Lepisosteus oculatus: one gene and its partner. The protein of the gene in region 2 purifies or fractionates together with the protein of the main gene of each other region. This does not show direct contact. Links are inferred from orthologs where the notes say so. Each region holds a gene or a part of one and is shown on either strand. Other genes may lie near its edges.

Region 1 (15,828 bases), on a different chromosome or scaffold from region 2:
ACCGAGGCGCAGGGGGTAAAACTACTCACTTGTTCTGGAAGTCGGGCACAGTGAAGATGACCTGCATCACCGAGTTCAGGTAGCAACTGTTGCCAAGGTTCCGCATCCCCGTCAACCCCGGGCCAATCAGGGGTCGTAAGGTCGTGCCGGACTCCTGGATGACCTCCCACTCGCCCAGCCGCTGGTTCACGGCGATCTCCAGCTCGGTCATGGTGCGCTCGGTCTGGGCAGGAGGGAGAGCAAGAGGCAGCGAGATGTGACGCACACAGCCCAGACGCCAAACTCTGTGCTCTGAGAAACACATCCCCTCGGTCCACAGTGACGGACTCTACTCCTGCTCAGGGTCACAAAGTGTGTTATCAGGCATCCAAGACACCCAAACAGACAAAACTGATGATTGATCATTGTAGCTTACAGGCAGTGTGGACACAGGACAGGGACAGGACTGATCATTGTACAGTACAGGCAGTGCGGACACAGGACAGGGACAGGACTGATGTCGAGTACAGGCAGAGTGGACACAGGACAGGGACAAGACTGATGTCGAGTACAGGCAGTGTGGACACACCTTCTCCATGGTCATCATGTCTATCCCCCAGTGGGCCAGGTGTTCGGGAAGCTTGGGGTCTAGAACCATCTCATCCTCTTCATACGAATACACATCTATTAACGAGATCCAATAATGATGATAATGACTACTTAGAAAGAGAGAGCAGGGTGTTCAGAGTGAAAGGACCTGGGCTTTGCTACTGGTTATTGACAGAAGACAGGCAAGATAGGAGAAGAGGCTGTTCAAAAAGCCCTTAAATTACTGCTTTTAATTTGTGATTCTGCTCCTGGGGCATTTTTTCTTGGTTTCCATCAATATTTGGCAACATCGTTATTTGCACTTATTAAACTAAACTTCCTCTCAAAGGCACCAATTCGCTACTTCTAAAATAAACACACCCAAACTGACAATGACTATAACAGCACCTGCGCATTCATAGATGAAATAAATTTAAACTGACAATCTTAAATAAAATCCAAAGACTGGGGGCGAACATCGGGCAGGGGACGTTTTAATGGTGCCAAGGCCAGAATCCTGTATGCAGGCGGCAAAAACAAACTAGGAATACAAACTGGGAAAGCGTGAGACAGGAGAGGCTGGTGGTGAAAAAGCCCTGGGTGTCATCATTCATGGCCATGAGGCTTGAGGCACTTGAACATGAGAAATGAGATGTTGGCCGAAGGACACAGGAGGGAAGCCAGCTCACCTGCCCCGTCCGGGGTGATGGTGCCCAGCTTGACGGCCAGCGGGTAGTTAGTCTGCTGGTAGTGCAGCAGGGCGTGGTTATTGCCCCCGGAGCCGTCGAAGTACCGCCGCCCACAGAACACCTTCCCGTCCGTCAGGTTCAACCACAGGTTCTCCCGCAAGTCACAGTTCTCACAGCGCCAGCCACTGACCCAGAGAACAGCATTGTGGGTAAGAGACACACAGGCCACTCACCCAGAGAATGGCATTGTGGGTAAGAGACACACAGGCCAATCACCCAGAGAATGGCATTGTGGGTAAGAGACACACTGGCCAATCACCCAGAGAATGGCATTGTGGGTAAGAGACACACAGGCCAATCACCCAGAGAATGGCATTGTGGGTAAGAGACACACTGGCCAATCACCCAGAGAATGGCATTGTGGGTAAGAGACACACTGGCCACTCACCCAGAGAATGGCATTGTGGGTAAGAGACACACTGGCCACTCACCCAGAGAATGGCATTGTGGGTAAGAGACACACTGGCCACTCACCCAGAGAATGGCATTGTGGGTAAGAGACACACTGGCCACTCACCCAGAGAATGGCATTGTGGGTAATAAGCGCACTGGCCACTGACCCGGGGCACAGCATTGTAGGTAACAGACACAAAATTCACTGACTGAGAGAAGACTAGCATACCGGTCACTAAACAACATAATATTGACTGAAACTCTGCAGTGAATTAGGACACTTAATCTCAATGCAGGTGCTGTAGAGAAACCTCCTGCACACAGAGAGAGGCCCTCCCTTCTCTAGCAGCTACAAAGCATTTCAGATAGGAGACAAGCGTGCAGGGCCAGGAGACACACAGTCCAGCAAGAGGAGACAAGCGTGCAGGGACAGGAGACACACAGTCCAGCAATAGGAGACAAGCGTGCAGGGACAGGAGACACACAGTCAAGTACAAAGACTGACCAGGGGGGGATTTTCACCCCGTTGTCAAGCTGCTTGAGGTCGGCCGCGTGTTTGGACACCTGCCTGACCTCCCCATCCCACTGCTGCACCTGGAGATTGTGTGACGCAGAGTCTGCTGAGAGAACCCCTGCCATGGAGAGGGACACCTGAGAGAAAAAAGCAGAGAGTTAATAGATACCTGGATTGCAGGATGCTACCACACATTACCAACCAGTGACAGAGACTCAAGTTACACTGACCTCACAGCAGACTACAACTCCCACAAACCCCATCGTTGCTATTAAAAAAAACTACATGTACCAGAATGCCGCTTTTCCACAGCTTTATTAAACAATGAATGACGAAGCATGGGGCAAGTTCAGACTTAGTAACAGAACCAGGAGTTATATTTTAGAAGAGGACCCAAACATCAAGTTAAGAACAAGATACATGTTTAGAATATTTCAGAAGTATTAAGCTTCTTTAAATGCTTTCAAGGATCAAGAGTCAAAACAGAGTAATAACTCATTTTGGAAAGCCTTAATTGACTGCTTAAAAACCAGATGAATAAATGAAACCATATCACCCTGCAGCTCACAGCTGGCAGCCCCACTGGAGCTCAGCAGGTGTGAGCCTGGTCAGTATCTGGATGGGAGACTCTTGGGAAAGCTAAGGCTGCTGATGGAAGAGGTGTTAGTGGGGCCAGCAGGAGGCGCTCAGTCTGTGTGGGTCCTAATACCCCAGCATAGTGATGGGGACACTATTCTGTAAAAAGGCCCCATCCTTCAAATGAGATGTAAATTTGAGGTCCTGACTCTCTGTGGTCATTAAAAATTCTAGGGTGTTTCTCAAAAACAGCAGGGGTGTTACAATGGCGTCCTGACCAAATTTCCCATTGGCCTTTACCAATCATGGCCTCCCAATAATCCCCATCTATGAACTGGCTTCATCACTCTGCTCTCCTCCCCAGTGAGAACTGGTGTGTGGGGAGAGGACTGGAGCATCATTCAGGTGGGGCTGCACACTGGTGGTGGAGGTGGGATTCCCCATTACTTTGAGTGGAGTGTCCAGAAAAGCGCTATATAAGCGTTACCAATTTATTATGATGATTACTATTTCCTTCAAATAAGACTGAATAAATCATTGGAATTACCTAAATGTCCAAAATACACATTGTACACTCTCCATGGCAAGGAAAAAGAGTTAAGCAGGTAAACTTCAAAAAGCCATGTGTGAGCATCTTCCAAAATCCTCACCCTCTCGCGGACAACATCAGGCATGTTGGCCAGGTCTTCTGAGGTCACTTCCAGTCTCTCAGGAAAGATAACAACTTTCACTTCCTGGTCGTACTGATCCTGCTCAGACACGTCAAAGCCTCCTTCGATTCCTGAGCAAAAGGAAGATGAATTAATTCAGAATTTAACATACCTCTTCGGAAGTCAGCTATCACAGAGACATTAAAACACACCCTCATACAGACCTTAGAAACACAATTAACACAGAGATTAATACAGATCCTAATATAGACACACTTAACACAGAAATACAGACCCAATTATAGGCACTAATACACAGAGAGATTAATACAGACCCTAATATAGACACTAGAGACACACCTCACACACACAGATCAATAGAGACTCTAATATAGACCCTAGAGAGACATCTAACACAATAGATCAAAACAGATTCTAATATAGACACTACAAACACACCTAAGAAACACAGATTTATACAGACTATTTATATTTATAGATTACATCTTGGCTTTCAACACAATTGTTCCCACCAAGCTGGTCCTAAAACTCAGGAATCTGGGCTAATGCAACTCTATCTGCAACTGGCTAGTGGATTTCCTGACGGGCAGGGGCTGATCCGCAGACTCTGCTGCCTCTTTTGCCCAGCAATTGCCCACAGGAGACGAACACGGAGCCTCGTCAGGCCCCCGCCACGAGCTCACCAATCGCCAGTCGGGTGGGCTTCTTCTTCGGAGGGTCGCCCGCCCCCGATCCGTTCTCCTCTTCCTTCTGCGAGCCAACAACATTGACAGAAGGTCAGAAAACACTTACCCTGGGGCAATACGGAATGTATTCCCATGAGGGGCAAGGACAAAAAACGAAAATAACGGACGATTACATGCAAGCCCGGTAAAAAAATAAAATCCCTGAAGCAGCAGCACGATCCTTTCTAGGAGAAGAAACTCCATGTGTGCTTGCCAGGCCCTGACAGCAGGAGATGTCTGTATAGAGAGATACACCGAGCACTGGGGCCAGAGGGGTGCTAGTCACCCCATCACCAAGAGGTCGGGCAGCCCTAGTACTTGTACCAGAGGCTGGGGGCCCGGCATGGCGGTGCACATCCACAAACTTAATAACATAAAACAATTCCTTACAATTATACAACGCTTTTCTGGACACGCCATTCCAAGCGCTTCACAGGACACGTGTAGCCCCCAGCTGGAAATAAAAAAGTCGCCCTCCTTCGGATGAGACGTTAAACCGAGGTCCTGACTCTCTGTGGTCATTAAAAATCCCTGGGTGTTTCTTGGAAAGAGTAGGGGTGTTACCCCGGTGTCCTGGCCAAATTTCCCCCTGGCCTTTACCAATCATGGCCTCCTAATAATCCCCATCTCTGAACTGGCTTCATCACTCTGCTCTCCTCCCCACTGAGAGCTGGTGTGTGGGGAGCGTTCTGGCGCACTATGGCTGCCGTCGCATCATCCAGGTGGGGCTGCACACTGGTGGTGGTGGAGGGGATCCCCATTACCTGTAAAGCGCTTTGAGTGGAGTGTCCAGTAAAGAGCTATAGAAGTGTAAGGATTATTATTATTATGACAGATGACAGATGGGGGCGTACCTGTGGCCGGCGCGTCCTCTTGATGTGGAGGAAGGCTCTCTGGCCGGTCCGGCGATAGTGTCTCTCCACAAACTGAGCACCGAAGCCCAGGAAGGTGTTCATGCACACGTACAGGCCCCCCTCGCTGTCCTGGGAGGGAGAGAGATAGCGAGAGCGAGGGTGGTGAGACCGACCGCAAGCCAGAGGAGGCCTCTCGGCTCATCTAGAGCGCGTGGTAGTTAGGGGCTGATGGATTCCAGGAACTCATCGAGCTGTGTCCAGAAACACTCGAAAGGGACCCCTCTGCGGTGATGTCATCACTTGCGGTGATGTCAAGGAGAAAATGCTCCGCCCCCTCCAATTGGTGCTGACTCGCCTGCAGGGCTCTGTGGAGCTGGAGCAGTGGCCGGTCAGCACCCGAGCATTTGAAGCATGTTTTAGTCATAGTAAGTTTGGCTCAGCTCGGGAACAGAGCCAGAAGCAGATGCATATTAATGTGGGTATTCTCTCTCGGTCCAAAGACATTGTCTAACAGTAGCACAGAGATTAGCGTCGCTATCTTGCGGTGCTGGGGCCCTAGGTTCAATTCCCGGGGTACTGTATGTGGGGAGTTTGCGCGTTCTCTCTGGGTTCACATGGGCTTCCTCAAGGGGATCTGATTTCCCTCAGTCCAAAGACATGCTGGTGAGTTAATTGGATTCTGGGATAACTTGGCCCTGGCGTAAGTGTGTGTTCCCTGTGATGGACTGGCGTCCTGTCCAGGGTGGACCCTGCCTTGTGCCCCTTGCTTGCTGGGACAGACTCCCCCTCGACTCTGAATTAGATGAAGCCGTTATAAAAGGGAGACTTCAGCTGAAGGGCTTTCCTTTTCTACTGAGCGGGAGATCGCTCAACACTGAAAGGCCTGGAAATCTGCTAGAGTGACTTGCAATTAAACCCAAACCTCTCCCGCAATGGACAGGTCAGCTTTTGTGGTGCATTTCTCCAAGGAACACCTTCAAGACACGCTTGTGCAGAAGAGGAAGGAGGGAACAGGCCGATTCCTGGCGTTCTGACAGTTTGGCAGAGGGAATCCCTATCTGTCAGATGATGGTACCTGGCAGGGACACTGTTTGGCTGAGCCTGGAAACTACAGTGCATGAATACTGCATTGGGAGACGGAGAGCATGCAGAAACAGTGACTCAGACTACAGGGGTGTGTTGTAATGGACTGGCCAACTGGCACACACACATATACAGACCTGCAGACACAAATTGGCACACACAGACCTGCAGATACACAGACGAACTGGCACACACACACAGACCTGCACACACACACACAAACTGGCACACGAACATGCACAGACATGTAATGGTCTACACAGAACAGCTGACAGACGCTACTACACAACTTTTCGGTCAGGAAGGGGCGATACAGATGTTAGCAAGCGCCTCACACAAATATGAATTACAGAAAGGAAACAACACTACTCCCAAGTCAACCCGAGGGAGTTACACCGCCTAACAGAGACGGAGTGGAGGGATAGTAGGAGCAGACGAGGCAGAAATGGGCAAAAATAGACCCAGAGAGAGAAAATGAAGGCAGAAAGAAGTAAAGAAACACACTGGAACGAAAGAACACAGCGCGAAAATGGGTGGATATGCGGTTCTGGGAAAGACGGGTGAACAGATATTCAGACGATAGGAAAGGAGGGGGAGATTTTTGGACAAGGCGGGCCGGCGGGGGGGGACAGACAAGAGAGACAAACACACAGAAATAGCCCGGAAAAGCAGGAGCGGGGAAGACAGAAACAAAGACGTGGCCAGACGAGACAGAGACGGGGTTCAAGAGGGAAAGACTATGGATGGACTGGACTCACCGGACTGGCGAAAGAGAAAGCGCACTCTTCCTTGTGAACGCTGTCCCCGGGCCGTGGGACACGGATCGTGGACAATACCGACATCAGCACTTCGCCTAGGTCCGACATCGTCCTTCTCTTTTCTGTCCTCTTTTTTTTTTTGGTTGGTCTCTTTCTCTCTCCGGCTCGGTCCGTCTCTCTGTGTCACTGGAAACTGTAAGGCCGGGCGCGCTCCTGAGGCCAGACACACTCCGAGTCCGCCGCGGACGCGCGCCTAACCGTAATACAACTAGTACGAAGGAAGTCCCGTTTTGTCTTAACTCATAATTCCATCCTCAGGCATAAAACGCATTTCATTATGCATCCAATCCACTGATAAAGCTTAACTCATGGGAATGTACAAATAACAAATATGTTAAACGTTTTATATTAAATTTTGTTTAATTGCTCTAATCTCGATGAATATCTCTTAATAGCTTTATGCCGAAGGAAAATAGTGGGTGGCAGTTAATTTTAATAGCATTTAATTGGAAAAAAGTGATTGTGAAATATGCATTAAAAGCTTTCTGGACAGAAGTGAATAATAAACGGTATTAAAAACCTAACAATTTCTAGTTGGCTCTCACAATTATTTATATACATAAATAAGTAAAAGTAAAACAGACTCTGTACACAGGAACTCACATAGTGTTACTGTATTAATTCTAGTGACATTTGGAAGTTGTCCTATGTTGAACTCAACAATAATCTTATCGTTCCTTATATATCTTAAAATACGGTAACGGCTGATCCCGAGAATGCTGCTGCGCCGACAATGAGAAAGCGGAAAAGTCACTCCGGCTGCCCCGGAGAAGAGCCACTGCCACCTAGCGGCGGGCGGAGCGGGTCGCCTCGGTCATTAAGTTCGCTTCGGAAAAAGTTCCGAGTCAGAGAAGCAGTGTAGACTTTCTATGGACTCACAGATTCAAATGTAGACATACTAATTACTGCCTTTTACGTGTTGTGTCGTAAAATAGTAGTAGGAAAAAACACGTAGTAAAAAAAAATTAAATACAATTGTGTACATTAATCCAACACGAATGTTCAGAATCAGAACCGTCCAGCGCTTATGAGCCACATTTATGGCGTTTATTTCGGTTTACTAAGCGGTTCTGCTCCCGTACACTGCGACACCCCCTGAGATAACTGATTAATATTATCTGTTCACGACTTGCCTTACCGAGTTGCAGTAAACGTAATGCTTAAAAAGGCAACAAGTTATCCATCGACCGCCACGTACTAAGCATAAGGTATTGCAACTAGTAACGGCTCCTTAAATTTAAGAGTTCATGTATCACGTCAGCGACCGGGCGAAAACGTGCCTTTATTAACACAGGATGAAGACCCACACTCAAATACGTGCGCAGATTAGGCAGCACAAGGCGTATGTTGTCGTTGTCTGTCGTTCTCCGTTTCTCCCGAGAAGATGGTGCGACTTTCCCCAGAGACGCAGCGAGACAGAGCGAGTTTGTGTCGGTACCTTAACGAATACTCCTCTATGGGGTGGTGCATCGTTGTGTATACAATTTCCCGTTTATTCTTGCACACTTGGGGAATTACTGGCGCTGCCTCCCACGTAATGACAGACGGCTGCGTATGCAATACAGGAGAGCTGAGAAAAGAGTACCCTTTGTGCCTCATTTGTGTTATAATGACTGTATAATTATTGGGGGGGTAGAAAGACTAGGGAAAGTGGCACGTAGCCTCGACACAAAAACAGATTGAACACTTTTCCAAATGAAATCAACGATGAATGAAATTCGTTTTGCCGGCGTTTAAACGTGAGTTCTGTCGACGGCGCAAACTGCAGGGGTCTCGCTGCGACGTGGTTGGGCCGAAGGGCAGAAGAAGAGGGTCAGCAGAGCGCTTTCAAGGGCTTGAGGAATGCGGTCGGTCTGAACTCGCACAGCATTCTTCCCCACCGCGCAGGAGGATACTGTCTTCAGGGTACGACACGGTCCTTCCCCCCTCTCCGCTGTAACTCGACACTCCCCCTTCAATAATTCTCCCACACCGCAGAAAACCAGCCCCGTCTCCTCCTCTCTGAGCCCTTCCCCACAACTGTCGCCCCCCGTCCCAGGAGAAAGAGAGAGAGGAGGGAAAAAACACACTTTAATTTTACTACATCTCTCCCTCCACATCTCTCTGCCCTCCCATCTCCTGGAGGACCAGTCTCGGAATCCGAATGGCGTTTCGCGGAGGAAACACCGCAGCTAGCGACGTGGCACCGGGCTCCCCTCTCCTCTCTCTCCTCCTCCTCCTCCTCTCCCTCTCTGCCCGGGCCGCCGGGGCCCTGCTGGAGCCCGTCGGGGGCCAGCTGCTGCCCTACGACCGCCTGTACTACTCGGGCGTGCGGGCGTATTTCACGCAGGAGTGGGACCGCGCGGCCGAGTTTCTGGAGCGCTCCATCGCCACCCGGGCCGAGCTGCTCCAGGTCCGACGCGGCTGTCACGACCAGTGCGAGGCGGCGGCGGCCGGGGACTCCGCTCGCCTGGGTAACTACCGCGCCGGTGGGGATGCATGTGCTCTTTAAACACTGGCTTGGCATAGCCCACTGCTGATCTTTAACTTCGGTCACTGAAGGGCGTGGACTGACTGGACCGGACAGATTATTTATGATGCGCTGGTGCTTCGTTGACGGGTGATCGGTAACGATTCCCGAATGCTCGGGTGCGAGTTTTTGTCATTGGTTTTTGATGACACCGAAGAAGGCACTTGACTGAAAACCGGCCATCGATGTTTGAGAGAGACGGTACAGGAGAGAGATCTCAGGGCAGCTGAAGAAACGCCTGCTTTTTTATTCTCCTCCAGAGCCCCCAAATTTACTTATTACTCCTGTCACACCCCCTGCCGGTGTCTGGGCTATCGTTCACAGCTCCTGTGACTTGAGTCACGCTTTAAAATCCTCCGGTCAGGCAGTAGCTAGCTCATGATCTCTGCCTGTGCTGGAGAAGCATAGAAGACCCAGCAGCCTTCAGGACCCGAGTCTGGGACCCCTGGGCAACTGTAATATCGTACCCAATTGAAACCGATCAGCACAGATTGCTTTTCCCCCGAGATCATCCTGCACTGGAGGTTATCACTGGGATGAGCGTTAATGATGGATTATTGACAGACTGTCAACCGTGAGGCGAGTCAATAATGTCAGGAATGGATAAAGCAGCCAGAAGAGTGTCTGACTATTCGTTATTGATTATGACCCACACTGTCAATGATGATGTCTGGGAGCTGGCAGGTAATCAGACCTGATCAGCCGCTGGAAGAGTATCTTGACTATCTATTATTGACTGTGATCCACAGTATCAATGATGATCTCTGGCAGTAATCAGACCTGATCATCTGCTGGAAGAATGTCTCACTATCCATTATTGACTGTGATCCACAGTATCACTGATGATCTCTGGCAGTAATCACACCCGATCACCAGCTGGAGGAGTGTCTGACTACCCATTATTGACTATAATCCACACTGTCAATGACGATGGCTGGGAGCTGGAAGGTAATCAGACCTGATTAGCTGCTGGAAGAGTGTCTGACTACCCATTATTGACTATGACCCACACTGTCAATGACGATGTCTGGGGGGTGGTGGAGTGTCTGTCTTAATTCTCAGACGGGTCAGAGGGTGATACGGCTGTAATCGGTTCAGCCCGGGAGTAAGCAGTGGGACTGACTCAAGATTATTGATGCTCGATAGACAGCGCGGATGGGAGTCTCTGGGACCTGGCTGTGTTTGGGTTGGTGCAGCGGCGGGCTGAGTGTCTGAAATTCTGCCTGGAACAGCGCGTTACCCCTTCTGCCATCCCCCCTGTCTCCCTGGACATCCAGTATGAGTTCACCAACCGGAATCCTTATAACTACCTGCAGGTGACCTACTACAAGGTACTGGCTCTGTGTCTGCCATCTTATCTATGGGTGTACACTGCTGGCTGAGTCTGTAACTGTATATCTCCCTGATTGGTTCATCATCTTACTGTACGTCTTGTCTCTATACAGTAACTCCGGGCACCTGTCTCACGTTTGTCTGTTGTGTATCTGTTTGCCTGCATTGATTTCTCATTCTCAGCGCAGTGTGAATCTCTCGTTGTGCTGCAGCTGTATCACCCTGCAGCTCACAACTGGCAGCCCCCCCTGCAGCTCACCAGGTGTGAGCCTGGCCAGTACCTGGATGGGAGACCTCCTGGGAAAAACTAAGGCTGGTGCTGGAAGAGATGTGTTAGTGGGACCAGTGGGGGGCGCTGGTCCTGTGGTCTGTGTGGGTCCTAATGCCTCAGTATAGGGACGGGGACACTGTACTGTAAAAAAATTGCACTGTCCATCAGCTGAGAGATTAATCTGAGGTCCTGACTCTCTGGGGTCATTAAAAATCCCAGGGTGTTTCTCAAAAAGAGTAGGGGTGTAACTGGTGTCCTGGCCAAATTTCCACCCTGGTCTTTACCAGTCATGGCTTCCTAATAATCCCCATCTCTGAACTGGCTTCATCGCTTTGCTTTCCTCCCCACTGAGAGCTGGTGTGTGGGGAGAGTACTGGTGCATCATCCAGGTGGGGCTGCACACTGGTGGTGACAGTGGGATCTATTTCCTGTAAAGCACTTTGAGTGGAGTGTCCAGAAAAGCGCTATAGTGTATGGAATCATTATTACCTCCACTCAGCCTGTAGGGCCCTTGCGTTTTGTGTTGACCTCCTCCTCCTCTCTTGCAGCTGGGCAGGCTGGAGAAGGCGGTGTCAGCCGCCCAAACCTTCTTCGTGTCAAACCCGAGCCACCTGGAGATGAGGAACAACCTGGAGAAGTACAGGAGGATGAAGGGAGTGAGGGAAGAGGCCTTCTTCGACAGGGAGAAAGAGAAGCACTGGGTGAGTGAGAGAGTCAGAAATCCCACCCCCTGCATGGGGATGCAGGTCAATACAACACAGGGAACAGCTGTGCCACACTGTTGGGCCCGGTTCAGGTGTGCCAATGCCTTCAATAGCCTTAAGCCTGCGTGTGGAAGGATCACATATCTGCTTACCCTGGCCACTAACTTCAATAGGAACTGTCACCAATGCCATTTCAAATGCAAATAATATGAAATATATCCTACTGCACAATCCCTGCTCTACTGTTCAGGCAATAACAAGTGTGAGTAACACACTTACAATAAGTGCATGAAAGCTACTCCAATTATACAGAAAATAAGCAAAGGAGTTAGAAGAAATGTTCCTTAATTTACAAAAATGAGTTACTTTTTCCGATTGCTTTGGTTTGTCCGCTACTCACATAGTAAAACTAACATACGTGGCACATTTCTTCATTCTCGTCAGAGGAACATGTCCTATTGGTCATGTTATTTTAACTCTGCAACCTTGAATCCATCCATTTTCTAACTGCTTTATCCAGCAATGGGCACAAGGCAGGATACACCCTGGGCAGGATGCCAGTCCATCACAGGGCACACACACTGACACCAACACACACACACTCACACCGGGCTGTCAGTCACCGGGCAGGTGCTTCATGCCAGCATGCTTTCGGACTGTGGGAGGACACCAGAGCACCAGGAGGGAAACCCACGCAAACACGGGGAGAACATGCAAACTCCACCCAGACAGTACCCCAGGACCTAAACCCTGAGCCCTGGCACTGCGAAGCAGCAATCCTCACTGCTGCCTCTGTGCTCATCCATGCCAGAATCAGAGCCTGCCACCTCCTGCATTCAAGCTCTGACAGGACAGAAGGTCGAGTGGTCTTGACTTCAGGTGAAAGGGTGGCAGCAGGTCCTGTGGTTGAGATATAATCAAGCTTTAAGCAGAGTACCATGAGCTATAGTACAATGCATTTGCTACAGTGTAGTGTAGTGTTTTCTACCGTTTAGTACAAAACAGTTTAGCACAACATAATATTCTACTCTCCAGTACTATACTACAGTGTTACTGCAGTGCTGTATTACCCAGAGTTTGTAGCTGGTTCTTTGCACTTGTGAACTGCCGAGTCCACTTTGAGAAACTAAGTGTTAGACTGAGTGGAAGCAACTGTTTCATGAAAACAGGTGCCTTTTTTTAAGTATGCTGTCCACCTGCTCCAGACACTCTTGTGTCTCATGGAATGAAGAAGTACAGTATCTCTCCATCTCCTCCACCTTGTCCACTTCTCTCTGCCTTTCTCCATATCTCTCCCTGCTTCCAATACCTCCCAATACCTCTGCCCCTTCTGTGCTCAGACCCTGCATGACTCCGGCGTATTGGCTGAGAGCATCTCCGATTGGCCGCGGGCGGCAGAGGCATGGAGGGAGTGTGTGAACGAGACGCTGGCTGCAACAGAAGAGTGCAGAGCCAACTGTGCGGGGGAGGCGCTGCAGCCCAGTGAGGAGGACAACCAGTTAACCGGCACCAAGGGGCTCTACGAGAGAGCAGCTGGTAAGAATGAATGGCAAAAACTACAGCCCCCAGAATGCACTGTACGCATCAGAAGGGTGTTTATGGGAAATGCAGTTTATAGTGTGTACACTTATATCGCATTTTTCTGGACACTCCACTCAAAGCACTTTACAGGTAATGGGGAATCCCACTACCACCACCAATGTGTAGCATCACCTGGATGATGCTCCAGTACTCTCACCACATACCATCAATCAGTATGGAGGAGTACAGGGTGATGAAGCCAGTTCAAAGATGGGGATTATGAGGAGACCATGATTGGTAAAGATCAGGGGGGAAATTTGGCCAGGCCCTGGGGTAGCACACCTACTCTTTTCAAGAAACACCCTGGGATTTTTAATGACCACAGAAAGTCAGGATCTCGGTTTTACATCTCATCCAAAGGACAAAGCCTTTTAACAGTATAGTGTCCCCGTCGCTATACTGGGGCATTAGGACCCACACAGACCGCAGGGTGAGCACCTCCTACAGGCCCCACTAACACCTCTTCCAGCAGCAGCTTTAGCTTTCCCAGGAGTCTCCCATCCAGGTACTGACCAGGCTCACACCTGCTGAGCTCCAGTGGGGCTGCCAGTGGTGAGTTGAAGGCTGATATTGCTGCTGGCATAACTAATATGATATGACTTACATTTTTAACATTGTTATTTTAGTACATTTATGATGAATTATATGAGTAGATAGCAAATTAACTCTGTCTATCCTCTCCCAGTACAGCTACAGCACTTAAAGGACTGCAGTGTGATATCTGTGACATAGTGAGTCTACTTGAGTCACCCCTCTCTGCTTTTTCCTCATTCTCAGGGCTGTCACTCCAGCTGCTCTCCTGCCGCCAGTCCTGTGTGTCTCTCGTAGCCACGCGACCCGGAAGGATTTCACCCATTGAGGACTTCCTGCCATCGCTCTTGGAGCACCTGCACCTGGCGGAGTTCAAAGGTCAGAGGTCACGGCATGTTTATGCACACGCACATGCTTGCAGTTTTAGAGTCTGTGTTAATCCCATTCCTGTGTATTAAAGTACTGCAGTGCCCAGTCATGTATTCCGGCTGTCAATCAGTAACTCAGTGTTACTGACGTCAGATCTCTGTATGTGACCTCTGACCTGCCTCCAGTTGAGGAGAGGCAACTGATTCAGGAGCAGATGGCCAGCAATAACGATCAGACATGACAGGCGTGTAAGTGTGCTTAACCGATACAACAATGACAGCTGCTTTGTACAGTAACCACAGAACTACAGTGTGCAATGTCCATGTATAATCCTCATTGTAAGCAAATAACCCCTAAAAAGAGTGACTATCACTTATGGAAGTAGTTTTCTGTAGAGTATGATTGCTCGATCAAAGCAGAGATCTTACACTCTCCAGTTAGTTGATGTCAGGTCTGCTGGTTCCCTGCCTCTTCTCCTGAATTAGTGGTGGGATGAAAGCAGAAGTCCTCAGCAGAGCTGGAAACTATTATTATTATTGTTATTATTAATAATAATAACATACACTTATATAGCACCTTCCTGAAACTCCACTCAAAGTGCTTTACAGGTCATGGGGAATCCCACTGCCACCACCAATGTGCAGCCCCACCTGGATAATGTGGATTCCATTAGGAGTACAGCGTGTGAGTGTATACTAAGACCTGTCCCCCAACAATTTCTCTCTGGGTCCGGATGTTCAGCCGGCGCCCTGCAGGGGGCGGTGATGTCTGCGCGCGCCTACCTGCTCTTCTACCCCGAGGACCCGGAGACCCTCTCCAACCTGCAGCTCTACCTGAGGACACCAGGGGGCAGCACCCCGGAGAGCGCCCAGCCCCGAGAGGTCAACCACCCCCCGCGTGTCCGTCTCTCTCCTCTCGCCATGTCTTGGGCTGCCTGTGCTCACTCTGCGCAGCTCCTCTGCTCGGCTTTCTGCTGCCTTTCTCTCCCTAGACCCCGTTCCTGTTCAGGTGGGCCAGTCTTGTTGTCTGTATTCACCCCCCCGATTCTCTCTCCCTCTCGCTCTCAGGATATTTCTCGGTATGTCCATCGGTCGCTGCTGGAGAAGAAACTGCTCTACTTTGCGATGGAGAATCTGGGTTTCAAGTTCACCGATCCAGTAGGTCACTGACCCTGTTAATGTCTTATTAGGGACGTTGCTATTTCAGTGGAAATAGCGTGTTCAGGATTGCTCAGGTCTTTCCTCTTGAGAAAATTACTTTGGGATTATATATCAGTTACAGTATACTGTAAATATTTCTGGCTATATACTACACATGCAGATTTTGTATGTCCAAACTCTTGGTGGCACGCGGGTGCAGTGGCCAGCATTGCTGCCTCTCACCGCTAGGGCACTGGGTTCAATTTGTGGGGTGCTGCCTGTGTGGAGTTTGCATGTTCTCCCCATGTTCCCATGGATTTACTCCTCCAGGCCCCAGACATGCTGGTAGGTTCTGGGTAAAGTGGTCCTGGCGCGTGTCTTGTGTGTGTGTGAGTGTGTGTCCATCTGCCCTGTGATAGACTGGAATCCTGTCCAGAGTGTA
Region 2 (15,955 bases):
GACAAAAAAACGATACCTGGACCAGGCAGGTAGGACTTAATGCAAGAATTGGTCATCTCACACCAGAGACAAATGCACTTGACCTTGACTAAAACTAATACTGTACATGAATACCGATTACAATAAAACTTCTCTTGGCCTTTAGCTTTTACAGCTATTTCCACTAGTGTTTATACATTCTATATTAATGTGAAGAAGCATTCTGGTATAATATCCAAACTACTGTACACACAATATGAGAGCGGACTGATCAGGAGAGGAATTTAGGACAGTTCTATGTATCAATAGCTAAAGAAAGCACAAGTAAAACGAGCATCCAGTAGTATAGTTAGACAAATTCAGGCCAGTACAACCTAAATAACAGTGAATGCATAATGAACACTGCATAATGATGTAAAATTCAACTTGCCATGGTATTCTCCACTGCATCTTGTTAAATATGTTAAAGGTTTATGTGAAGACAATAAAAAAATAGTAGGTCCAATAGCTCAATTTGTATTTAAGTATTGGTAACTGTAAATACAGTATCTTCATAAATAGAAAAACAATCTCAATTAATAAGAAAAGCTATTACTGTACAGCATTATCGTCATTTGCACAGTCCCCTTAAAGCAAACACTTGGTTATGAAAACATCCATTTAGATAGCTTGGTAGAAAATCTTTTTTGTCAAAATCACCAGAGTTAATACATTGATCTTTGTTCTATAATTTGAGCATGTTAAAGAAAATAATGTTATCATTTTCTTTGAAGCATTATTTTCCAGAAGTGCTTGTACAATTTTAACTTGTAAGTGAACAATATTTTTGGATAATTTAGAAGTTACAGTACTTGTGAATATACTGTAGTATACCAATTATTCTTATACAACATCTGTCCTTTTTTACTTTAAAGTGGATCTTATTCACCAAGTAAAATCTCAATCAAGGTCATCTTTATCATCACTTTGTGAGCATCTCTATAGAAAACTGCACCAATTTTCATTCCTTTGCAAAGTATCTTTTAGAAATCATCTTCATCTTCTTGAAATGTCAATATCTGTTTTTATATAATGGAAAGATACTCTTCATCATATGAACCATTTTTTAAAATAAACTTTATTTTAGCTGCCTAAACTATTCTACTATAGATTAAAGTTACAATAGCATGTTAATGATCATTTTGCTGAATACAGTAATCAGTAATAAGTCATCAGGCAATCAAGTATTTTTTTATACATTTAGGTAATACACTAGCCTTCTCGTTAGTTTCTTAGATTAGTTGTCTTTTGAACGGTTATGATGATCACTTTTCTAAAGACTAGAAACTTACCTGTCATACAAATGTGAAATTCACAGGATACTGTATGAACAGCGATGTATGCATGCAAAACAAAGCCCATTACACCTTTCCCTCAAATTCCATGCACACTTATTCTTCATTCAATCTCACTCAAGTTACTGGACAGGAAGTAACAGTACGTATGTAGTATATAAGATAAAAGCATAAAGATTTTTCGAGGAAAAAAAAACATTATATTATTAAGATGTTAACTTTCTTATAGTTTATAATCTTGCACTGAAATTGTCTTCGTGGTGTTAGGTATTGTTTCATATTGTTTAAACGTTCCCACATACCTTTCATATAGGGTCTGTAAAGACAACATCTAAATTACTAATAGGCCTAATAATATTTTAAAAATATATGCAAAACACCAATGAAGCAAAATATCATTGGTGTATTACAAATACACTATTCACAAATAGACACTGTGTATTTGATAACACTTTGATCAAACAAAAACAATATTATTTAATGCAGCTAACACATCGATTCCTTTAAATTGTATTTAAATTACTCAGGAAATTATTTTTAAAACTTTATGCACACGATCGTCAAATAAGCAGACTCAAATCGAAAATGTCTGTTTACGAAATAAAGGCGATGCATACCATTTTATACATATTTTCCCATTTCCAATGACAGCTTTATTTTAAGACTTTGCGCACTTCACAGTCGTATTTAAGAAAGGCAAAGTAAAGATTTATCTTCACCTTTAAACTAAACGGCTGACTACATATGTTAGGTCGACGTAATCTTCTGATGCACAAGTTAATAAATGACGTGTATACTAACTTTTTAAGGTTCAAAGAGTGGAGTCTACAGAAAAAAAACTTTGAAACACCAAAATGTTTAACTTTGCTTTGAAATTAATAATTAACCATATGAAGTCGACATGAACGATTCCTTTTGAACGTTGTGCAATACTAGCCAAAAAACAAACAGTAATAGCTGCCATACGAAACATGGGATTATTTTGTTTCTTTACGTACAGAGATACTGTATGTATTTATGTTTCATGAACTCACGCCTGCCACTGGAAGAACCTAAGGAAGCCACAGAAACCTGTTCAGTCTGTTTCCTCCAGCAATTGAGTTACGTTTGGTCGAGACTTGACTGGCTCGAATTAAAAAAAAAACTAGGGTTTTCCAGGTGTCTGTGATTGTACCTTCCCCCACTTCGAAGAATAATGTGTGTGTAATTATTGTTGTTGTTGTTGTTGTTGTCATTTCATTATATAGTTTTTTAATTAATACATAAATTACAAGTTCTGTTTATCAGATGGATTCTGCTATTTGATGGCCTTTTCATTTTCTTCTAACAATTTACTGTTAGCACTTTATGTGGCTTCACGTGGCATTACACTATTTCACTTCTAAGTTACTGAACACGCTTAAATATGTCAGTGGAAAATACAATTAATTCATCTAAAGTGAACAACTTGAAATGCTTTTATTCTGGTCATAGCAGACTTTCGGTTTCTTGATAAGTCTAACGGACGTTCTTCTTTCAAATACATGATTTGTTTAAAGTAGATTAAACAAAAATCTAAATTAATCTTTTAACTTACGAGTATCAAGTTTGGATATTGAGTGGCTAATTGGTGCAATAAACTGTCATTTGTAATGTAAAAATACAAATATCCATATCAAATGTAAACTTTTGCATTGCTCCCTAATTACAATGTTAACTATAAAGGTACAGTACGTGTGTTGTTATTTGTACTCATTGTTTCATAACATGCTAAACTACAATAAAACAGAATATCGGAATTAATAAAGGGTTAACAACATTTTATGCTGAGAAGACTGAAAAAGTGGATAAAATCCAAATTGCAATGTTTTATTTATTGCAAATATCGTTTCAATTATTTGTATCCAGAAACAAAAAATGAAAATAAGCACATATATGAACATCACATATGGTTAGTATGTCGGAAGAATAAAATAATTTTGCACAGCAAAATATATAAAAAGAAAAGATTTTTAATTGACATTTTAATTTATTGTAGAATGGATTCTTCCCCTATTTTGCACATGCAGGGTATCAATCCCTGACGGTTTATAAATGTCCTGACATTACTGATTATTATAATTATTAATTTTATTGCCTTGGAAATGATCAATTCTGTTTAAGAACAACTAGTTCTGCATAATAATACAACTGTTAAAATTGCATCATTTAAAATTCTGCAGTATTGCCAGAAATAACTGCATGTCTGTTTGCATTCTTATTAGCGTTCTAAACAGTTCTGCATTTTGTTACACATGCTTGTATGTTCTATTCTAGTGCAATTCAGTCCAAAATACTTCAATTCCTTGAGAAGAATACATTGTCCAATGTATAATCTCCGTTGTGTGAAACAGGAGTCCCCTCCTGATTTAATACTTTGGTTTAAAAATACAGTCAGTGGTATTACAGGGGCTACATTTATCCAACTTGGTTTAATTGCAAGCACATGCTGCAAATAAAGCTGTTTTCGTATTAAAACAATCCCATTTTATTTGACAAATTTAGAACCCCCCGCCCCTCCCCCCTTACATCAACAACAGAAAAAGACATTTTAGTGCATCAGACCTTATAAAACCTACTTCTAAGTAAACCTAATTTATCTACAACATTCCTTTTTAAGAACAACCTGTAGCACAACCTTATTAACTTTAGGGCTTACAGATTATAAAACTATATACTTAAATTACGTACTAGGAACCCATAGCATTCCAGAGTTACCAAATGCATAAGGATGGGGGTAATTATTAAATAAAACAAACTGCTTTAAGCAATAAACAGTTTTAGTCCCAAAGAGGGATTGATTCCTTTTAGAATTTTCGAAGTCCTTATTCCCCCTCATAACATGGAATCCAACCTGACAACTTCAAACGGGAATGCTTCAGTGCATTAATTGTATAAAAAATGAGAGTCTGACGATGTCGTACAACTCAAAATCAAGCAGTCTAGATTAGCAGATGCGATTTCATGGGAAGGGTGGGAGAGGATGTCCCTCGCACTTTTTTGTTGCAAACTCAAAAAAGTGATGAGGCAATAAAAGAAAGTTATGAATGCCATGCCGTTAAAGTCATCCAGGAAAGTTCATTTTCAAGCACAAAAAAAGAAGAAAAAAATACCGTACATGTCCAGCATGCAGGGTTGTTTATTAATATATTGTCTCTTTTTAATATTTGTTTCAAAACAGTTACAGTTTTGTTGCTAAAAACAAAATAGCATAATAATGCATGAGATGAGAATGGGGTAAAAATGGCAGGCTCAGAGTCTTTCATGTTTGGCATTTCATGTTTGGTAAAAAAGCCAAATCTCACATGAAAACTGAAGGTAGCTGCAGTTGGTTTTTGGCAGGTGATGGTTTTTTTTTTAGATTCTAAGCTTAACAACGTCAAAAAGATCTCAGCTGTTGAACTTCAATGTTATATATAGATACAGTACTACAGTGTATATATATATAACATTGTAAGTTTATAACTGCTTTAAAAAATACAACGATGATAGATCTAGAAAAAAACACAGCAAGCCAAAAAATCACATGAGCTAAACAAAAGAAAAACAATAATAATTATAATAAACACGAAGCTGATGGCAGGTTTCAAAGAGCGAGCTCCAAAATGAAGGACATATTTCGACGACAAGTTCAATCTTTCTATTGCAAGCCCCCAAAAAACTCACGTAAGTTGACAAGCTTGAGCAAACCCCAATTCTCATAAAAAATCAAATTAAAAAATGACAAAAAAGAAAATAAAAAAGTTGGCAAACTTGTTTCTTGGTCTAGCAAGCCCCAGACAAAAAATAATTCACATGGAGAACTTTTATGAAGGGGTTGACAAGCTTGATTTTCGTTTTTTATGCTGAGACTCACATGAAAAATTCTGGAGAGGAAGGGTTGTCACTGCTGGAGCCGTTTTCTCTGAAGCCATTGCTGATAAGCTTCTCGTATTTTTCCTTGTAGGCATCCCTCTCCCGGACCAGCCTGGAGATCTCTTGTTTGAGATGTTCAACTTGCTGCATGAGCTGGGTCTTCTCGCCTTCCAGGACGTGCCTTTGCTGGACCCTCTTGTAGCGACAGGATTGAGCATAGCCTCTGTTTTTGAGGGTCCTCCTCTTTTGTTTAAGCCTGATCACTTCTTCTTTGCTGACCCCCCGTAGCTGCCTATTGAGCTCTCTCACTGACATGGTCACCAGCTGCTCGTCCGAAAACCTGTCTTCCAAATGCATGTGCTGGTGGTTTCCTCCTGAGTTAACGTTGGAGGCGACCCCGGGTGCTTGGTGATGTCCCCCGGCGTGGTGATGGTGGTGATGGTGATGGGGACCCCCGTTCTGGGCTGCGGCTGCCGCGATAACTGCGGACACCACAGCGGCTGCCGATCCCATCTCTTCCCCGGCCATGGTGCCTCCTGATCCGGCTGCGCCGGCAAACTGCTGCCCTCTAGCATAGCCATCGAAGCTCTGAAGCTGATGACTGCTGTTGATCAGCGCCTCTACGGCGTCTTCGGGGCTGAAACCCAAAGCCTCCGGGTTTAACTGTTGTTGGTAGCCGGTCATCCAGTAGAAATCCTCCAAGTGTGCCTTCTGGTCGCTCCCGGAGCCCGGGCTGGGCGCCGAGAAGCTGGGAGAAGGAGGTACCGAGCTGCAAGGCGTGCTCATCGGGGTGGAAGACAGGGATCCCCCGGCGATCAGGCGGCTGCACTGGCTGATGCTGCGATCGGGCTCCACCGGCTCCTTTTTCACTTCAAACTTCATCAGATCGAAGTCATTAACATATTCCATGGCCAGGGGACTGGTGGGCAGGTCGGAGTTGCTCATTGCCAGTTCTGATGCCATCCTTTTGCTGTTGACAGTCCTCCAAAGGGGGTGAAGAGCAGCTGTCAAACTGTTCTGGTTTGAAAGAGTGTGAGCCAGCTTGATTTATTTATTTATTTATTTTTACCAAGAAAAGGGCTTTCAATTTGCAGCAAAGACTAAAAAATATATAGTTTTCCTTTGCAGAGTCTATTGCACAGACGCATCAGAGCAGTGCGTGTTTCTCTTTCTTCCTTTCTTTGCATGTGATAGCAGTGTAACAACAGCCTCTTATTTCAACCATTTAACAGTTCATGACTTCTTCAAAAATAAATTGTAAAGTGGCGAAGGTAGAAGGGTGCAAGTGAGAGGTAAACTGTAGTCTTGTAGAAAAAATATTCCCCGGGCTTGTTGGAGAATTTTTTAAAGGATCACCCAGCAGATGAGTTTAAAAGCATTGCTGAGTTTTATAGCTGCCCTGACGTCAGGTGTAATGGGAAATTGACTCAGACTCGGAGCCAATCGGCTCTCTGAATCTGAAAGCTAATTAACATAATAGTGTAGAAACAAAACTTTTCTCAACTGTCAGGGACTATCAGCTGACTGTCAGCTGGGACTCAAACTTTTAACTCTTTCGTGTCAGTTTTAGGTCAGATGGTCATTTGTTGTTGAATGCCGTTTCTCTGCTATAATTTGCGGATTACCTCTTTTAAAATTAGTTAAAATACGTCAAATGCATTTGATTTTATGGCGGAATCGGTAATTATACCAAAAGCCAAGAGACGGAGCAATAAGTTAGAAAGCATCGAATACTGAAGCATGGTGACAGAAATTCAGCAATGTTCCCCGGAGTTTCAGAGAATGCCCGACAGACTGTCTCTTCCTAAACGTTAAACATTTGAGCATATTTGTTTGTTGTGTTTGACTTGTTTGTGTGTGTGTGTGTGGGGGGGGTTGCCTTAAAAAACGGTGAAAGTTTGGCATATTGCACCTCTCCCGTGTTCATAACATGAGACTTTTGTTTTAACAAAACAAAAGTTACTTTATTACTGCTGTAGTTTTTGAGTGCTTCCGAATCGAAACTGGGATAGGTCTTGTCTGCGTGTCATTTTTTTTCCCTGCTTTACTGTATGTTTTATAACTAACAATGCATTATATAGCTAACAAATAACATATTTTTACAGACAAATGCCTTTATAAGTTTGCTTTTCACTACAAACTTACATAACTCTAATGTTTTAATTTCGCGGTAAAACTTTAAATTAATTTTCGCTGAACACCCAGCATTCGTATGATTCCATGCACCGCCAAGTTTGACAAAAGGTAAGAGGTGCACAAGAGGAGAAATAGTTGAAACAATCAGAGCTTTACATTTGGAAACTCAACACTGCCACCTTTTGGAATAAGAGTTGCAGGAAATGAAACGTGTCTTGGTTAAGCAGTATTAGTTTTTATGTTAAATATTTTACATTCATTTTCAATCGTAAGTATTAAATGTTTTCACTCATTAAATGTGTTACACACAGCATTAATATAACACATATTGCATAATAACTTAGACCAAGGCATTCCTTTAAGAAGAAATGTATAAAAATATTTTGTACACTTATTAAACTGGTTTGTAGAGCGACAAAGATGCACAAGAAGAATTACAAGGAATTGTTTTTATTATAGGATGACAATATACCAATAATATACCATAAATCTAAGAAGTACAATTAATCAATATAACAGTTTGATAAAGTACTATTGCCTTGCAACTATGTAGTATAGAAGCTGAATGTGTGAGTTAACATCAACTATTCTAACTACTTTGTAATTTTCTTCAGGTGTGTGGCACACCTGAAAAAGGCTCCACGGCCGAAACGTTGTGTTTTCTTTCTTCTTTTTTTCAGCATGGAATAAACCTATTACTTGTTCCTTTGCAGCTTACACATGCTGACGCAGCTACCCACCTGAACTGCTTTGTAATTTTATGTACTTAACATTAAAAATGGACATATCTGGTAATTGATCATGGTAATATTAACGGGGGTCCTAGTACGAAACTTTCTTCATATGGAAACAAATATTTTCCAGTGTTCGGCCTGTGAATCTGGTAAGAATGAAAATGAGAGGTGGGCAACCAATTTGCTCGTAGGGCAATATATTTACCACAAACGTACCTGTAACTTCTGGATATTTGAAAACAGAAGAAGGTTTTTAAATTAATTCACCTTAAAAGCCATGGAAATACAATAGGATGTCGCAGCAATCGTAAGTCCTATCATATATAAATCACAATTGTTGTCAATTCTTTTTATTTAAAATTGAGAGAATATAAAAAACACGGTTTACGTTAGATTCATTAAAACAAGAAGAAACATAGTCATTTTAAAATGCCTTCTTCATTTTTAACACTCTTTATGGCAATATCAATAGAATTAAAGTTAACTAATTCAGTGATTAAACGAGACTGTCTAAGCAAGATTAAGTGCACTGCTATAAAGTTGTTTATCTGAGAAGTAATTCTAAGAAACCTGACTTCTGACATTTAGTCATATATTAAACGACTTTCTTGTACATTGCACTTCATCCGGGGTTCAGAGGGCACTTATCTCTGCTTTCTATTCCTTGCATGCACTTCAGGATCTATACTAGGTTTACAGTATGTATACTGTAGATTTTATAGTGAATGTACTCTGTATTTTCCTTATGAAGTATATGCTGTTTTAAAACAAGACATTTGGTGGTTTAATCAAATCAAAAGGTGAAAATGGAAAGCCTATTATTGGTAAAGTAGCTTTGTTCTCTGAATTCAACAAGGAATAGACTTAGTTTGATTAAGTGTTTTGACATTGGAATGGCAACACACACATTCTTGGTTCACAGCCCAGTTGGTCCTTAGATTTCAGCCTAGTAGTGCAGGACTGGATCTGAAGAAGGATAAAACTGAAGTAATGCTCAGGAACCCAAAAGATAAAATATGTCTTTGAGGACAAAAACAATTGTCAGTTTTTGTACTGGTGATTATTGCCATTAAAAAGGAATGTGTTTCTTTGTAATGTTAAGTTTTATTGTTAAAGCTGAAGAAAACAAAGAAATCTATTATGAATCAGAATGATTGTCATAATTTTAATGTTTTTTTCTGTGCAATTTGCATTCTTAGCATGGGTGCACATCTATAATATTTAATAACCATTACTACATTTAAATATTAATATATTTATCTGATTAATAAACAATTTAAAAATAATCACAACCAGAAATATTTAAGGGAATCTTAGTGTTAACTAGTTATAACTGATGGCTCCATTCTTAGTTTGTTGTTGCACTGCTACTCATTTTTCCTGCTGCAATGAAAAATGACCATTTTGTGCATGTCAAGAAAGCCTATAATCATACACTAAGAGTACCTCTTTTAAAACCTGTGATCTCATCCAAAGAATGCAGGATATTTTAAGAGAGTATGGTAATTGTAGTATAATGATAGGTAAAATCAATCAAATTTCAGCTACCAGTGGCTGTTAAAGATAGAGGTTTTGTAAACTATCAACAGCTCCAGAGACAACCAGATTCAGTCTAAATCTGGGTAGAATTTACATTTCTTTCATTTTTCAAAATGTCCCATTTATTTTTAAACTTAACTTTTAACTTATAAACAGATCAAAGAACATACAGTGTAAACATACTGTATATGTATGCTTAAAATTAAAATGCTATTTCCAGTGTTCTTGGAGAAACAATGATATAGTTTAAAATACAAGACTGTCTTTGCATATTGTACAGTATATCAAAATATATATGAGAACTACTGTATTCTTAGTTTCCACTTGCTGTGTTTTATCACTTGTCAAATCCTGATGTAACGTGAATTGTATTTTTTCTTTAGTATTACAAGCATCACTTATAACAATATACAATTTTAGGATTTGCTGTATGGAACAAAATATACATTCATCATAATATGGAATGACTTGAAGTATAAAAAATATTCTCAAGTGTTCTCTAATTGAAAAAAACCTCTTTAAATGTACATATGGTATATAACAACACAGAATAGTACATTCAATTGTAAGATTACATTGGATATTGTAAGATTTCAAATTTACAATTATCTGTTGAAGAAATTTGTTTTATTTGGCATTGGTTTAATTGGTCAATTCATTGTTCTTGACAGTATATTACTAAATACAAAACTACAGAAAATGAAAGTCCAACCTTAATGAATTAATAATGATATGGAAAGTGCTCTCAGATAGCCATTGTAAAAATTCCTTTAAATCACTGCAGTAGTTTCATGAGAGAATTGAGAAAGGAATGAGGAAATAATCTTAATTAATGAGAGAAGAGGTGGAACTTCCTCCCAGTTGTGAGGAAAACTGTAAGTAAACATAAAGTAGTTTTGAACTGCTGCTGGAGTTCTAAGTGAATAGTTTTAATAGTCTGAAGAAGACACCCTTTCTGGATCACATTTTACAGGTGAAGTATTGAAAGTTAACAAAAGTGAAAGGTAAAATCAGAGAGAAAAGAATAAACTGTTTAAAATACTCTTTTTCTTACATTGCTTCATGAAAGCTGTTTTCAATCAAATTTTTCTCTTTTTAGGTTGAAGTTAACCTTTCTTCCTTGACCAGAGAATTCAAATAAACCTCCACACTAGAAGCTTTTGGTTCTAATTTGTAATTGTGTTTTTCAAAAGTGGCACAAAGGTGTACCTTTACTAACAGTGGAAGTCACAATGTATAACATTGTACTAAAATAATCTCAAAGCTCTATCATACATGTCATTATATGGATGGAATATTACACACTTTACAAGAAAATTGCAAATTATATTTAAAATAATTGCTGAGTACAAAAGTGTGTTGGAGCAGTTATTGTATAATATAACTAAAATTATACTAGAGTATTACACTAAGACATCATTAATTAATATATTCTCATACAATTGCTTATGGTATTTTTAACGTAAGTTATATAGCTAATTATAAAAATAAAATTCTTAGATTCAGTGATCAAAGGTTAAAATATAAACATTTTATTTTCTTGAATATTTTAACTGATAGTGGTACTTTAGATAAGTCATCAGTTCATTTCTCAAAAAATATATGTTTAGGTCTTGGGATGTTGTGCAGTACTGAGAATGTGTAATATCCTTAACAGATTATTATTTGCTATAGTATCAATTTCATATTCATATAAATCAGCATGTGTAGAGGATTACCTCACAGAGCTTAGCACTGTGGTCTTGAGAGACATCCTGACACTTGCACCTGTTGGCTAGTACATAAACTAATCATATACGGTATATTCATCAAGTCAGCTCTTTGTTGTAGTCTTTGGGAGCTGTGTACTCCTGAAACAAGCCATGACAAGGCCAGTCTCATTTCACTACACTGTAAGACCTAGTGCCTATGGAGGAAGTGAAATGGAAAATGATACATCTGGTACTCATAATACTACAAGGTGATAGATATTCAAATCCCTGCAAAGGGCTGCTGTGTGGCAGGCCTCTGGCTTGGATGAGTGCAGTCAGCCCCAGCTGGACTCGGCTTGTTGTGCTCTGAGATTGGGGACCTTAGCGACAGCAATGAATGATATAGCCTTGATTGAAACTGGCCATTTAAGTTGATTAATGTGCATGAAATTTGTATATAGATCTTAAAAAACACTGCAGCATCAGGTCTGTTTCTGAAACATTCTAAAAGAAAGGATGCCAGGCAAATGCCAGGTGTTTGTCTAGTCTTTAATTTTATCTAAATCTTTTTTTTGAGTTTCATTTGGATCTACAGTCTTTGATAATACGACTAGTAATACCAAAATAGTGTTAACTGCAAACTAGATTTATACTTATCAAACCATATTCTATCTAGATCATTGATATAAATGAAGAAGAACAATGGTCCTACTATAGATCCCTGTGGTACTCCACTAATGTCATCACGCCCATCCGAGTACTCACGTCTATAACAGACATAAACCCTGTTGTTGCTTTTCAATCTTCTCAAGATTGTTGGGTACAGAGATAAATATTCTATATCTTTTATTCTTTTTTTCAAGCTACTCTACATTGTATTGTTGAAACCCAGCATCTGTTCAATTCCAATTGTCTTCCCTTGTTTCCATTATGATATATCCTTGTACCCAGCAGGTTGTATGTTGTGGGCCTTGTGATTCTACATAATTCTACATAATAATGTACATGGCAGCTCCCCATCAGGTACCCAGTTATTAATCTATACGTATTTAATTCCTGCCTGATGTTTTCTGGCTACAGGACCTACACGACATCGAGCCCCACTCACAGCTGTCATATGCTTAAAATATAAGACGTGCAGCAGCTCAGTTTTCAAAACTGTTTAAAATCTTGATTCTGTTAACTGTGTCGTGATTTCTTGGTAACCTAGTCGGGAGTGATCAGGTCAGAGAACGCAGCAGCGGAAGAATGGGATTTCAATGTGCGCACTTACGTGAGAAAAAGCATGATAAAGACAAACATAAGCTTCTGTGGTTTATATTAGTTTGCCTAGTATGAAAGGATGTCAGTTAATTCATTTAGAGATGAGTGTGGTTAGCTGTGATATGACATTTCCATTTGACCTCCCAAAAGTACAAAAGAAGAAAAATAGCCTTGTGCTTTTATAACAGTTTTTGTTAAGTGACAAAATAAATTAAATGTTGCTGGTATGAAATAGTATATTAATTTTTATCAAGGCAAAGACTTTTACCCACATTAAAAGTTTTAAAATTGATGTGCCTTTTTGACATTATCACCAAGAATAAAGTTATTTCACTGGAACTAATGTATTACAATAAAGTGTACAAAGACTAATTGAAGACTGCTCAAGAATGGGATTGCATCAGTACTGATTGCCTATTGCATTGCACTTGTATATTTGTTGTAATGTGCAGGTATCACAAGATATTGTTAGAATTGTTCATCACAATTATTATACTCATATGGCAATTAACATACGTTTACAGATGTAAAAATGGCTTAAGTGGTGTAGTAGAATTATAGAACTATAATAAATAATAGGAGTCTAATTATGAAAAGTAATAATACTTTGGAAGAACAAGAATCACAGGTAAGCCCTCCAACAGCCTACACATGCTGATGCAGCCACCTACTTGAACTACCATTGTTTATGAAGTTGAGAGGTAAGAGATACTTTTCAATATTTTATTGATGCTACAGGCATTATGACATCACGTCCTAAAGGAAAACAAAAAAAGGTTCACAATTAATAAGTAGCAGAAGAAACTTTAATATGTACTTGAGAGCAGATATCTTCTCAGTATTCTTTAGAATCAGGAAAGGAAGGAGCAATTATTACTCTTATTGTGACAAGGATTGTTCAAAGACCCCTTACTGAAGACTGTCTATAGTAAAAACTAGACAAAAATATTTAATATCAGTGGACGTTTTTATACAGTACATTGTTTCTATTTGTATGGTGTAAAACTGCTTATAACTACATATTCAGACTAGGGGGCAATGCAGCTTTTATAAAAAATGTATTAAAATAAATTATAGTAAACTGACATACTGTACTGTACTAGGGGTATTAATTCCAGTGTAGACAACTTTTTTGCTGTCTATAAAGTATATTAGGTATTTTATGTCAAATTTGCATGTGGCTTTTTTAATTATTTGAAATGGTCTTGCACAGACAGACTTGGAATTAAAATAGTACTAAAAACACTGTGCCTGCTTCATTGGTACAATCTCTGCATGCGTCTGTAGCTTGTAAGACCTAAAGTGGAGAAAAGTGATATATACTGGGCATTTTATGGCTATGTAGTTCAGGTGGGTAGCTGCGTCAGCATGCGTAGGCTGCAAAGGAATAAGTAATAGGTTTATTCCATGCTGAAAAGAGGAGAAAGAAAACACAACATTTTGGCTGTGGAGCCTTCTTTGGGAGTGAGGAAGTACATGGAATTTTCAGCATGGAATAAACCTATTATTTGTTCCTTTGCATTTTATGGCTATTGATGAAAGTGCTCTTCCCAGGCAATAAATAGGTGTGGCGATTAATTCGTGATTTGTATAAATTCAAAATACAACACCTGAAGTTTATTTGTGCATCTTAAAATTATTTCAATACACATATGGAAAACATTGATAGTTTTGGGTCAATGTAGCCACATTCAATCAATTTTAAAAAATATTTTTCATTCAGTTCTTGTGTAAACAATAAAATGTATTTCGGGTGTTTCAAATATTATTCAGTATTTGTTGACAATATAGGGTATTTTCAGTTTCAACCACAGTAACATAAGCAGAATTGTGTAATGCCGGATACAAATAAAATGACCTTTTTCTGAGTTAAAAGAAATGAAGGACCACAAAGGAAAGTTCTTTAGTTTATCAGCCACCCCCTTACAAATCCCCTGCTTTTAGAATTAGTATTTGTTAGCACAGAAAACCATCTTTTGGATGGGCTTGCATAAATATAACCACCAATAAGTCATTTTTATTTATAAATGTAAACATAAACATACAGTATATATATTTATAAACGCTTCTGATGTGATGTAATTCACTATCTTAAAAGGTTTTTGCTGTTACTGAACATTTGAGGCAGACATAAATTTTGTTATTGTTTAGGTTAGATTAACATTCACGATTAGTACATTTCAGTCATGGTTTTCTCTTGTTGGTCTACCTGCAAGAAGACTTTAAAAAACATTGTTCTGTCTGTTGAAAAAGAAACCTATACCTTGGATACAGATGCAGCCATTCAAAGTGCGTGGTACAGACACATACCGGAGGTAATTGGCTACGGCGTCGTGCATTGTGACGCACGATGACGCAAAATACCGCGGTACGTGATTGGTTGACCGACAGGGGCACTCGTGGTCCGTTGGTCGGTCGTAGAAAGATTTACAGTAAATGTCTTTACTGTGCCCGTTTTAGCATTGAATATTCATATGGAATTTTACCACTGAAGGGAAATCTTAGTACCTGAGCATAAAAAGAATAGGAGCATACTGTAACGCGTGTGAAGGCCATAAACGATATCAATTTTGGAACATAAACATACAGTATATGGCTGGCCTCTGTACTTTAAATAAAAAATACATACCAGTATTCCATTTCTCCCTAAACATTTTAAGCTTCGAAGTCTTTAACTAATGTGATACCAGAGTCAACAAGCATACTTTTAGAATTTGATTAAAAGGGAATATAATATGGAATCGCGTATCTAAAGAAATTAATAACGATATAATTATACTCGTACTGCAACACAAGAATAGTACACGCTGTACATTGTCTGTTGATAATGTTTCTGTAGTGCTTTTTCAGCACTCTGCATGTGACCTTGCCGGTGGTGCTGTGGGTTAGGTTCCTGATGCCCACATCACATGGTCTGTGATTGAATCCCGCTGGAGCCACGCCTTTTTTTTAACAAACATTTCTTTTAAAAAATGAAACATTTCCCTTGGTCAGAGATTAAATAAAACCCCACTCGCACCAAACAAATTTATATTTTTAAATATCACAACATGATCGAATTAAAGTCATTTTAATAACAATTAATAGTCACCTATGCGTTACAATATAAACATTTATATTGATTTAAATCAAGTTTTGATTTAAATTGCGTTTTGATTTAAATCGTAAACGCGTGTTTAAATTGATGTGTTTTTTGATTCACAATCAGACAAATGCAACATAAATTGATATCTTTGACTTCTTAGTATCTTAATAAACTTTCAGCATAGCTTTCTCGCCTTTTAAATTTATTTTTCTTGGGATCTTGGGATCCTTAAAGGCGCTTAAAGGCGAAATATAAAAGCGTTGATTCTTATGGAATGTGTTTTCTTTCTTCTTTTTTTCAGCATGGAATAAACCTATTACT

Evidence for each region.
Region 1: the proteins of mafa (region 2) and usp5 purify together in Homo sapiens (affinity purification with western blotting; 3 studies listed by BioGRID, with this or other methods). This does not show direct contact. The link is inferred for Lepisosteus oculatus from reciprocal best matches to the Homo sapiens genes MAF and USP5.

What each region holds. Positions count from the first base shown.
Region 1 is NC_090718.1:2,636,476-2,652,303, forward strand, and holds the start of usp5 (ubiquitin carboxyl-terminal hydrolase 5), read right to left. Parts: upstream 7,355-15,828; 5' UTR 6,999-7,354; coding exon 6,891-6,998; intron 5,179-6,890; coding exon 5,050-5,178; intron 4,221-5,049; coding exon 4,154-4,220; intron 3,581-4,153; coding exon 3,450-3,580; intron 2,361-3,449; coding exon 2,215-2,360; intron 1,442-2,214; coding exon 1,257-1,441; intron 664-1,256; coding exon 569-663; intron 224-568; coding exon 30-223; intron 1-29. Other genes in the region: p3h3 (prolyl 3-hydroxylase 3), read left to right, coding at 9,094-9,403, 10,606-10,790, 11,611-11,763, 13,107-13,302, 14,125-14,256, 14,989-15,128, 15,315-15,404. UniProt on the Homo sapiens protein: Deubiquitinating enzyme that participates in a wide range of cellular processes by specifically cleaving isopeptide bonds between ubiquitin and substrate proteins or ubiquitin itself.
Region 2 is NC_090715.1:17,782,431-17,798,385, forward strand, and holds the start of mafa (transcription factor Maf), read right to left. Parts: upstream 6,562-15,955; 5' UTR 6,150-6,561; coding exon 5,188-6,149; intron 1-5,187.